Oreochromis niloticus: one gene and its partners. The protein of the gene in region 1 purifies or fractionates together with the protein of each later gene. This does not show direct contact. Links are inferred from orthologs where the notes say so. Each region holds a gene or a part of one and is shown in the gene's direction. Other genes may lie near its edges.

The links.
Region 2: the proteins of rprd1b (region 1) and polr2g purify together in Homo sapiens (affinity purification with mass spectrometry; 3 studies listed by BioGRID and IntAct, counting the BioPlex papers as one, with this or other methods). This does not show direct contact. The link is inferred for Oreochromis niloticus from reciprocal best matches to the Homo sapiens genes RPRD1B and POLR2G.
Region 3: the proteins of rprd1b (region 1) and gpn1 purify together in Homo sapiens (affinity purification with mass spectrometry; 3 studies listed by BioGRID and IntAct, counting the BioPlex papers as one, with this or other methods). This does not show direct contact. The link is inferred for Oreochromis niloticus from reciprocal best matches to the Homo sapiens genes RPRD1B and GPN1.

What each region holds. Positions count from the first base shown.
Region 1 is NC_031984.2:24,341,881-24,345,632, forward strand, and holds the start of rprd1b (regulation of nuclear pre-mRNA domain-containing protein 1B), read left to right. Parts: upstream 1-1,440; 5' UTR 1,441-1,845; intron 1,846-1,944; 5' UTR 1,945-2,017; coding exon 2,018-2,168; intron 2,169-3,121; coding exon 3,122-3,251; intron 3,252-3,588; coding exon 3,589-3,722; intron 3,723-3,752. UniProt on the Homo sapiens protein: Interacts with phosphorylated C-terminal heptapeptide repeat domain (CTD) of the largest RNA polymerase II subunit POLR2A, and participates in dephosphorylation of the CTD by RPAP2. Transcriptional regulator which enhances expression of CCND1.
Region 2 is NC_031966.2:22,184,014-22,187,765, reverse strand, and holds the start of polr2g (DNA-directed RNA polymerase II subunit RPB7), read left to right. Parts: upstream 1-1,156; 5' UTR 1,157-1,282; intron 1,283-1,427; 5' UTR 1,428-1,623; coding exon 1,624-1,635; intron 1,636-1,900; coding exon 1,901-2,010; intron 2,011-2,155; coding exon 2,156-2,315; intron 2,316-3,419; coding exon 3,420-3,470; intron 3,471-3,577; coding exon 3,578-3,643; intron 3,644-3,752. Other genes in the region: uncharacterized protein si:ch211-175m2.5, read right to left, coding at 382-481, 561-734, 823-873. UniProt on the Homo sapiens protein: Core component of RNA polymerase II (Pol II), a DNA-dependent RNA polymerase which synthesizes mRNA precursors and many functional non-coding RNAs using the four ribonucleoside triphosphates as substrates.
Region 3 is NC_031965.2:38,255,407-38,259,158, reverse strand, and holds the start of gpn1 (GPN-loop GTPase 1), read left to right. Parts: upstream 1-767; 5' UTR 768-807; coding exon 808-957; intron 958-1,668; coding exon 1,669-1,762; intron 1,763-1,986; coding exon 1,987-2,093; intron 2,094-2,180; coding exon 2,181-2,218; intron 2,219-3,752. UniProt on the Homo sapiens protein: Small GTPase required for proper nuclear import of RNA polymerase II (RNAPII). May act at an RNAP assembly step prior to nuclear import.

The sequences.
Region 1 (3,752 bases):
AAAAAACTGTGGCTTTAGTTTTTGTTACTCAGAAGGACATTTTAGAAAATGTAAAAGCCAATAATAATAATAATAACAACAACAACAATAGTAATACATTTTATTAATAGGGCTCTTTCAAAACACTCAAGGATGCTTTAAAAGCAAATAAATAAAAAAACAAATACTGACTTTCCAAATGCATATAATATTACATATTACACTATCAATTTAAGATAATCTGTAACAGGACCTTTATTGGTGAGTCTTATAAGCTACACTTATTTTGTAACGTGCAAATCCTTCATGAAGCAGGGCTGTACAGGTGTGCCAGAATTTGCATTTTGGTTGATATTTGACTCGTATTTTGTCAAACACACCTGTTGTACTAACATGTAATTTGCTTAGATCCAGGGAAAAACCATTGTTTTAACAGGAATACAGTGCATTTTATTATCCGCTGTATTATGCAGTCAAATAGCCATGTAAATTCAAATATCTGTACAAACACAAAGATTTGATGGCATGCACACAATATGCAGACTTTTAACAGAAAGGTATTTGTTAATATATCCATATGAGCCAGGAAGTGGGATAAATTCTCTCTGTTTCGTCTTTTAATGACATATTGCAGTCAGTTTAATAACTGAGCTGCATGAGTAATAGATCCAAGTTAAAGCAATCATAGCTTGAGAACGGGCACAAGAAAAATCTACTCATGGCAAAAGGTTTATGAGTAAGACTCTGACCTTTACCAACGTGACTCCTCTCTGTGTAATTCTTCCTCTCAGCCTTCCAAAAACGTGTAAAGCAGCCATTATTAATGTACTCTTATGCTTCTTTATTATTACATAAAGTGAATTGCAAACAGCTAAGTATAGACTGAAATTGGGCAACGTTTTGGTTAATCATTTGGTACACAAAGAAAAAAATAGTACGACATTTAACTATAGTCCTATATAACAACTGTTTGTCATGTCTTTGTGTTGAACTGGTGCAATAAAACAGAAGTGTTCGGGTCTTACAGCTTTTAAAAGATCAGCCGGTCAAACTGCAAAGTGGAAGAGAGGCATTTTGGACATAACATAACAAAACAATGGCCTGCTTGGCCTATAACTAAAGCTCCAATCATGTTCTCCTCTTCCCGTGTTTTTGGCCTATCAATCTAATCAAAATATTGATCTGACAGTGTAAAATTGCCTGTTTTAATGCATTTGAACTGCAGTAAAAAATAAACAAAAATACACAACTTTAGTGAATTACTTTCAGTGCCCCTTATAGCCTTATTACATGTTCTAATTTATATATATTTTTTCTAAATCATCAAAAATACTGAGACATATTTCTCAAAATTCTCGTGAAGGTATAGATGATACTGAGTGTCTTTAAAAAATTCTGTGTTATTTAAGCAGTGGCGATATGAACAAAATAGCCTTCATCCCCGGATAAAGATGATGATGATGATGCCCGGTTCTGTTTGCGTCACTACCATGCGACGCGAACATCGAGGTGAAAGTGCAAGCTGCCATTTTTTGAAAGAAGTCTTTTTGATGAGTTAGGCGACCAAAGCCAAAGTGTGAGTTTCGCCGTTAGCGCTTCGTCGTTGGGTTTTTTATGCTGGTGGGTTGACACGTATTAATCCGGCGTGTTACAGAAGCTCTGTGTATTCAGGGTCTGTTTGGAGAGCAGGCTAGCACAGGGCTGCACTGCTCTGCAGATGGCTGCTTAGCTCGGTTGGCTAACGTTAGCTGGTGCTGTAAACAAACACTGGAGTGAGTGAAGAAGCAGCTGCTGATAAAGGAGCTCATCTTCATCGCAGGCTTGCTTTAGCGGATTTGGTCGATAATTCAGGAAGCTGGGAGGAAGGTAACGTTTGGGAGGAGCGGGAAGCAGTTTGATGCTACCTGTCTGTAAGTTAGCAGCACAACTTCAGTTTTGATGACAGTGCGGGTCTCTCCAAAATAGCTCGGGGCTCAGTCGCGTTAGAGCTGGTCGGAGTCGGTCCGGTCACAAGGGAAGCGCACACTCACTCACCGGCATGTCGTCCTTCTCTGAGTCCGCCCTGGAGAAGAAGCTGTCGGAGCTGAGCAGCTCGCAGCAGAGCGTCCAGACTCTGTCTCTGTGGATCATCCACCACCGCAAACACTCGGCCCTCATCGTCAAAGTGTGGCACAGAGAGCTGAAGAAAGGTGAGATCTGACTGCCCCCGCTGAAACCCCCCCCCACACACACACACACACACACACACACACACACACATACACACATACACACATTTGTGTTGTATGTTGCAGCCAAAGAGAGAGCTGGTAACTTAAACAAGTAAAGGACACTGTACATGCATTAATACATGCATTTCTTTCTAAGCCATGACATAGGCACAGACTGTAAACTCATTTTACGCTGTGAGCCACGTACAGCACACTGCAAAGCCCCTTTCTGTCAGTGCAAAGAAGTTTAACTGTGCATTTAATCCATGGCATTATCTTAGTTTCAGGAAATAAATGTGTAGGATGACTTCTGGTATCTTACAGCCCAGTCTGTCCTGTACTGTTTTGTTTTTGTTTGTTTTTTTGTTAATAGAAAATAGCCTTTTTTAAACTGTGGACCTATTGTAAAAAAACATAAACTGTTATAGTGCATTGTGGAAAAAAAAACTATTTTTCTCTCAGTTAATTGTTTATCTGTTGCTTAATTACTTTGGTGCAGTATGAACAGTAATGGGGGAGGTCTTTCTCAGTAGGAAAACCTATAAACCACATATTATGCACCTTTCTACATTTTCCAAAGCTGTCCAGTGGGCTGAATTGGAATCTGTGCTAGGCTGATTCTGATCCGTGGGAATTATGTTTGACACCCCTGCCCTAAGACCTTATAGATGGTCAGCTTGCATTGGTGTGAAAGAATAGAAATGCTACTAAATCAAGTTTTATTGCGACTAACAGTGTATTTTTCCTAATTCTTATGCTGTAAGTAAAGGAGATGGGCATGATGAAGGGAAAATATGCCAATTAAAACTCAAACTGCAACTCAAACTCAAAATAATTTGAATGTGAGAAACTGATAATCACTCTGTGAATTTTCCTTGTTAATTTTGTTAAAGCTAATGTTTTAAATGAGATATTTTTCATGTATCTTGCAGCTAAAAGCAGCAGGAAGCTGACATTCCTGTATCTGGCTAATGATGTCATCCAGAACAGCAAGAAGAAAGGCCCCGAGTTCACCAAAGACTTTGAGTCTGTGCTCGTCGATGCCTGCTCCCATGTTGCCAGGTATATTTTAATGGTGACCACCGTGTTCTCTGAGTCAGCTCCAAATTAGACTCTCCTGAATGTAGTAAATGTGTGTGAGTCTGTGTGGGGAAGTAGATGCATGGGAAATAATTTGTTTGAATTGTGGTTTTGCTATGCTTTTCTATTAAGCACAGCAGATCCTATCTGGACCTCTGCAGCCCCGATTATCTTTTGTCATACATGTCATAAAAACTCTGGATGTGCTTTGATCTTTTTATAGCCTTCCTGTACGTCTTTAAATTTTAAATTTTTATGTAACAAGTTGTTATTCCCTTATTGTGTGCTGAACTCTGTTGTTCCTCTCGTCGCCCTGCAGTGATGCAGACGAGAACTGTAAAAAGCACATGGAAAGACTGTTGAACATCTGGAAGGAGAGGAACCTCTACAGAAGCGACTTCATCCAGCAGCTCAAACTCGCCATAGAAGACTCAAACAGTCCCAGGCCTTCAGGTTAGATGACTATTACATAACATGTTGTCA
Region 2 (3,752 bases), on another chromosome or scaffold:
GGTAGCTGCTAAGCCTGCATACCAAACACAACCCAGAGTGCTATAGATATCCTGGAATGTGACAGGATTTACATGTGTAGTTTTGCAAACGATGGAGGTTTTGAATTTTAGAAATCCTTTTCTGAAAGGAAGAATTAATAAACAGGTCTAGACTACATGGAGTCAGGAAATCTAACATCCATCTATCCACACTTTGTCCAATTTAGACTCACCAATTAACCTAACCTCACTAAAAGGGTGTCTTAGAAGCCGGAGTACCCGGAGAGAAGATCCAAACACCACACAGAAAGGCCCTGGACCTCCCCGAGTTTGTCCATGCAATTGAATCTCAGACAAAACGCACCTGCTGCTAAAACAAAGACATACAGCACACAAGCACACCTGTGTCCTTGTTCATCAGTTCGTTGTAGTATGCAAAGAAGGCTCTGAACTCTGCCGGCCTGTGAGACAGCACTTTAAAGACATTGGGCAAAAATCCTCCCTGTAAGGAAGCACAGGTTTAATGGGGAGCAGAATCAAGTTCAGCAGACTTAAAGACCTTGAACGCCTCATATGTAAACCTTTGATTCCACTTCCTCCATAAGCTCCACTATATCATACGGCAGATCTTTCTTGTAAGGAATTGGGTATCGGCTGATTTTCTCTGGTGGAGAGCCACTGGAGGAAGATCTGGTGCCCGTCGCTGCTGCCGCCGCCCCCTTCCCCCGAAACAAGCAACCTGAACGGAGACACACCTGCAGGGAGGACAGCGCAGTCACATAAAATCACCCATAAAGTGCGCTGGAGATAGCCTACAAAGTGGAAAAGTATGGAACAACTTACAAGCTGTGTCAGAGGAGGGCGGAACAGCTTCGAGACGAGGTTACTCGCCATGTCAGTCAGCAGAAACTGGAGGCTGGTGTGAGATTAATCTGATCGTCAGTCAGCTACTGCTGTATCCAGGCGAAGAGGTTTTTAAGGAAGTCAGACTAATCCTTAAGAGGCACAAAGTTAGAGCTAATGTCGCTAAGTTAAACAGGGATATTTACCTATCCAGCTTTCAGTCACCTATTCGACTCCACAGTGCGTCACATTACACAATAACTGAAGCAGTGTTGACCATTAATTAGCTACCGTGTTAGCAAATAACTCGTTTTTGCTTCGTTTATATGTCAGATGTTAATAGTCTCGTGGAAAACAAACCAATCAAAACCCAGTATGGAGGCACGCCTGCTGCACGTCCACACCCTCACGCACTAGTCCTCCTCACCGACAGGGGTCAGTCTGTGACTGGATTGAAAAGGTTAGCCTGATTTCTGTGGGTCGTTTAAATAGTTAATTAAGCGATTCTTAGATAAAGCAGATAAAGTATTTAAATTGTTATTAATATTTATTATTTAACTTAACTTGTGATTATTAGAGCTGACTTTCGTGTCTACCAAAATTAGGAAAGAAAAGCGACACGCTCCTGAGAGACAGAACTGAGGGCAACAACATCCCATATCCCAACATCGTCCTCTGACTCGGAAGTGACTTTGTCAAGAACAAACGAGCGGCTGGTTTTCATTCAATACACGAAAAAACATCTTTTGGAAAATATAATAAAACGATTTTTGAGTTGGGACTAAACGTAAACAGACCGAAATGTTTTACCATGTAAGTATTTGTATTGCTCTCCGTATATAATCGCTAACAGCAGTCTGGTTCTGTTGTTGATAAGAGTTTGGCTGGCGTGCTTGTAGCTACTGTAGCTTTGTAAAACTTTATCATATACCCTTAAAAGCTGTTATCACTGTTGCGCTTTTATAGTTGTGTGGAGATGATACCAGTGTTTTTTCTCTTGTTTTTGAACGGCAGCAGAATAGCTTGAGCAGTGACGTTGTCCACGGCAAGCTAATTTAGAGAAGCCTTGTTTTCACAGATTTCTTTGGAGCACGAAATCTTACTACATCCGAGATATTTTGGTCCAAATCTGCTGAACACCGTGAAGCAGAAGCTCTTCACAGAGGTCGAGGGGACCTGCACTGGCAAGTGAGTGACTCTTGTGTTTGACTTAAAAATACTTTAAATCAAAGGCTAAAAAGAGGTTGAAATTTGACCTTTGGCTTCTGGAAAACTGGGCCACAGATGGAGGTTGTTTTGCAATTTAAATAATTTGTTTAATTCTGTCTTGCAGGTATGGCTTCGTCATTGCAGTTACCACCATTGACAACATCGGAGCTGGCGTAATCCAACCAGGCAGAGGTTTTGTCCTCTATCCAGTCAAATACAAGGCCATTGTCTTCCGTCCGTTTAAAGGAGAAGTTGTGGATGCAGTGGTCACTCAGGTTAACAAGGTGAGGGGCAGGTTTAGAGTCTTAAAGCCCTAACACAGTGTTCATACCATGCTGTAGGAAAGTTTTTGCCCCCTTTCTGATTTCTTAGTTTTTTGTTTGTGTTTGTTTTTTTTGTTGTTGTTTTTTTCATATTTGATGATCATCAAAAAAAAATTATATCAGAGAGAGGGTTTTAACTTTAGTAAATACAAAATGCAGTGTTAAATGAATTCATTTATTAAGGGGAAAAAAGCTATCCAAAACCTAGTTGGCCCTGTGTGAAAAATAATTCCTGCTACATTTTAAATCTTACATTAAATATGACTAATCATTTTGGAATTTTTTATTTTTTTTGGAAAGTTGAGTTCAGTTTCACTATCCACACCCAGGGCTGATCACTGTCAAACCTGTTGACTCAAGAACTCACTTAACTTGTTGGGGATTTCCATGTTTGTTAGTTTTTTACCTTACAATATAAAGCGCCTTGAGGCAGCTGTGGTTGTGGTTTGGCACTAGATAAATAAAACTGAATTGAATTGAAGTAGGACTGGTCTGACAAAGTGATGTAGGCTAAAAGATCTCAAAAAGCAACACACTAAAGAAACTCAAGAACAGATGAGAAACAAAGTCAATGACACATGTCAGTCTGGGAAGAGTTACAAAGCCATTTCTAAGGTTTTGGGACTCCACTGAACAACATTGAGAGTGTTTAACTACAAATGGAAAAATGCATTCAGCTGTCTGTGCATTGAGGCTCTCTGTGACTTGGATTATGCAGCAGGACAATGAGTCAAAACAAGTACACCTCTGGATGGTTAAAAAGCTAAAATAAGAGTTTTGGAGTGGCATAGTGAAAGTCTGGACTTAAATCGAATTGATATGCTTTGGCATAAAACCTGCCACCACCTCTCCCTTCTCTTGTCTCTATATCCTGTATTCCAGCCATCCTATAAGATGTAGAAATATAAAAAAAAATGTACTTCTGAATTTTCTGAATCACTTTAACAGCCAAAGTGTTAAACTAAATGTGTCCAGTTTTAAAAAATGAAGTCATGAATTGCTGAAAAAGAATAGTGTTTTGTCTTCCTTTTGAAATGTTTCTAAATATGTCTGTAATTCTTACAGGTCGGTTTGTTCACAGAAATAGGTCCCATGTCCTGCTTCATCTCTCGCCACGTGAGTCAGCAAGATATTTACAATTGTGTTTAATTAGTTGTCGTTTAGTGCACTTTGTAGTATTCATGTTGTTTGTAATTCAATCTCATGATACATTTCTTTTGCAGTCGATCCCCTCAGAAATGGAGTTTGACCCCAATTCTAATCCACCCTGTTATAAGACAGTTGATGAGGTATTGTTTCATTGTTATTTAACATTTCTTAAGTTGAAACAATAATAGTGTTACAGAAATGTGTATTAAAATACATTTCTCTTCTTTGCCTTTATTGGCTTTTAAAATA
Region 3 (3,752 bases), on another chromosome or scaffold:
TGCACTGAAGCTTTAATTACATGTATGCTCACATTTTTCATTTGCAATAAAATCACTGAAAAGGCTGGCTGTTTCACCTCGTTCACATTCATTCATGTGGCAAAATTTAAAATCTACACATTTAAAATCTGTTTTTATGCAAATGTTTATTACATTGAAGTTTTATCCACTGATGGAGGAGACACGACAGAGGTCTTATTGTGAAAATCATCCACCACACTTCTAGCAATTTTCATTTGACGAAGAATTGACTTCTTTTAGAGTTTTATTCAAGGAAAGTAAAATTTCAGAATATTTCTAGACTATAATGAGAAAAATAAGTATTTATTGGTTTGTAATTTTTTTTAAGGGACTGCTAGTGATACATGTGAAAATTCCAGTTAGGTATATTAAAATTAATTACTTAAAATATTTGCAAAACATAAAACTAGTAAAGTCAATATTCTTTTAAAATACGGAAATATATATAATATAGAAATGATTAGTTATTTATATACTGCGTTACTAATAAATTATAAACTACTAAAATGTACTAAAAGTAATGTTTCTAATCCACAAAACATAAGAAAAAAATACCTATTTTTTAAGACCCGTGAACAGCATAAATATTTTACTCTCTGCAGTCATGTGTTTTTTATTTATATTAATGTATCTGTAAAATATTCTAATAAAGTTTCCTTGTGTTTTCATCATGGTTTATTAAACACACTGCTGCCCTCTGGCTTTCGTTTTGAACACCGCGTTTCCATTTTACGACAGCGGCTGCGTGTGGACGGCAGCCGGTTACTATAATATCTCTCCAGCATCATGGCAGCGGCGGCGGAGTGTCCCGGCACTGATGCGGCTTTCCCGGAGACGGCAGGTGGCAGCGGGGTCCCGGGAGCTGCTGTCGGGGACAAACCCGTGTGTCTCATCGTGCTCGGCATGGCGGGCTCCGGGAAAACCACCTTCGTCCAGGTGAGTCCCGGTCCCTTAGCGGCTAACGCAGTTAGCAGCATGAGTTAGCTTCTTCAGAGAGACCGGAAGGTAAATAAACGAGCAGCGACAGGTACAGGTTTGTGAGCAGGTTTACATCAGAGGAGGAGGAAGAGCTTTTTTTTTTATTATTTAATTCCAGCTAAAACTCAAGTACCAACCAGCTTTCTGTGGCACACCGAGGACCACACGAAGCCCCCAAACTGCGCACAAACCCATTGGCATCAAATAAAATCAGTTTGATTTCAGTCAGGTAGGAGAGGCAGCAGAAGGTTAGTTATCCTGCAACATGAAACAGCCTTTAATAAAATAACTTAGAGAAAGCATAAAAGCTCAATAGAATATAAGTAAGGTCAGCATGGAATGGATTACATAGTATTAGCACATTTAAATAGAAAACAATAGAATATAGAGTAGAGTCAAACTTTACTAAATTGTATTTAGCCCAATAAATGTTAAAATAGCTTACTAAAGTCACTAAATTAAACCAATGACACCCTGTGACTGATGTTTGCTTCTCCTTCAGTCTGAGCTCAGAGATGAAGATTTTCTAAGCGGCTGATGTTAACATCTTCAGCTTCCCTCCTCTTCCTCAGAACATTTCCTCCGTATAAACAGTGTTTCCTGTTTGTCTGCCTGTTATGAAGTGAGCCGCAGTCACGAGTAATCTGAGTACTTTTCTGTTTCCTGCAGAGGCTGACGGCTCACCTGCATTCCCTCAAAGCTCCTCCATATGTCATCAACCTGGACCCCGCCGTCCACGAGGTCCCTTTCCCTGCAAACATTGGTAGGATCCATCTGTTTGTTGGATGCTACTTATTTAAACAAGAACTTAAAACTCAATGTGGGATGCTGGATTTGCAGAAGTGCGTTTAATCTTTGCATTACACATCACAGCGAAAGCAAATAACCTTCACGTGTTTTTGTGATTCAAACACAGCCGGAAAGACTTTTAGCTCCACGTCATCTTCAGCGTCTGTTAGTTTTCTCTGTCTGTCCTCTTGCTTTCAGACATCAGGGACACGGTGAACTACAAGGAGGTGATGAAGCAGTACGGCCTCGGACCCAACGGTGGCATCGTGACGTCACTCAACCTGTTCGCCACCCGTTTTGATCAGGTGACTCACAAATCTCAACATCTCGCGGTACGAATGTCCATACCAGACAAACCATTCGGATCCTGACTTTGTGTTTGTTTTCTTCAGGTGATGCAGTTCATCGAGAAGAAGCGACAGAATCACCGGTCAGTATGTAGCTGCTTATTTGCAGCTAAATGCAGTTAATGTTTTAAGGACTGTGAGGGACCCCAGCGGCTTCCTGTGTGTGGTTGTGATGCACAACACTCCAAAATATTAAAGGAACACCTTAAAACACAGCAGATCTCCATCCATCCATCCATCTTCATCCGCAGATCTCAATGAGGGTAATAGGTTAGGAATAATGGAAATTGAAATGATCCGCCTGCACTGGGCTAAAGTCAAACACACCCCAAAAATCAAAGTAAAAAAATCGATGCAGGCCCGTTTTGTTCAGATTTCATTGCAGGAGTTCAGAAATGATTCTCGGGAGTTTGAATCCCCCCCACGTGTTTATATGAATGCCTGACGGCGCCGGGGTGATGTCCTAAGATAAGATAAGATAACCTTTATTAGTCCCACACGTGGGAAATTTGTTTTGTCACAGCAGGAAGTGGACAGTGCAAAAGTTACGAAGCAAAAATTAGAATACAATAAGAATAAATACTGTACACAACTGTACATAATAGAATAAAATAAAATACTGTATACAGTAGAATAAGATAAAATAGAATAAAATATACAATAAGATAAAAATAGAATACAAATGCTATATACAACTGAGTAAAAATACAACGATGCCAGAAAAGATTATTGCACTTAGTGTTATTGCACATGTGTGGATGTGTGTGTTTGATCAGTTGAAGTCTTTGTTGTGGAGTCTGACAGCAGTGGGGAGGAAAGACCTGCGAAATCTCTCCATCCCACACCGTGGGTGCCGCAGCCACTGAAGGAGCTGCTCAGTGCTGTCACAGTCTCCTGCATGGGGTGGGAGATGTTGTCCAACAGGGATGACAGCTTAGCCACCATTCTCCTGTCACTCACCACCTCCACTGGGTCCAGAGGGCATCCTAGAACAGAGCTGGCCCTGCGGATCAGCCTGTTCAGTCTCTTCCTGTCCCCAGCAGAGATGCTGCCGCCCCAGCAGACCACACCATAGAAGATGGCTGAGGCCACCACAGAGTCATAGAAGGTCTTCAGGAGTGGGCCCTCCACTCCAAACGACCTGAGTCTCCGCAGCAGGTACAGCCTGCTCTGCCCTTTCCTGTAGAGGGCGTCTGAGTTATGAGTCCAGTCCAGTTTGTTGTTCAGATGAACACCAAGGTACCTGTAGCTGTCCACAGCCTCGATGTCCATACCTTGGATGTTCAGTGGTTGCAGTGGAGGATGTTTGTGCCTGCGGAAGTCTACCACCAGCTCCTTGGTTTTACTGGCATTGATCTGGAGGTAGTTCTGCTGGCACCAGTCCACAAAGTCCTGAGTCAGTCCTCTGTACTCCTTGTCGTCCCCATCAGTGATGAGGCCGACTATTGCAGAGTCATCAGAGAACTTCTGCAGGAAGCACTGGGTGGAGTTGTGGGAGAAGTCTGCAGTGTAGATGGTGAAGAGGAACGGAGCCAGAACCGTTCCCTGTGGGGCCCCCGTACTGCAGACGACCCTGTCCGACACACAGCCCTGAGTCCTCACATACTGTGGTCGGTC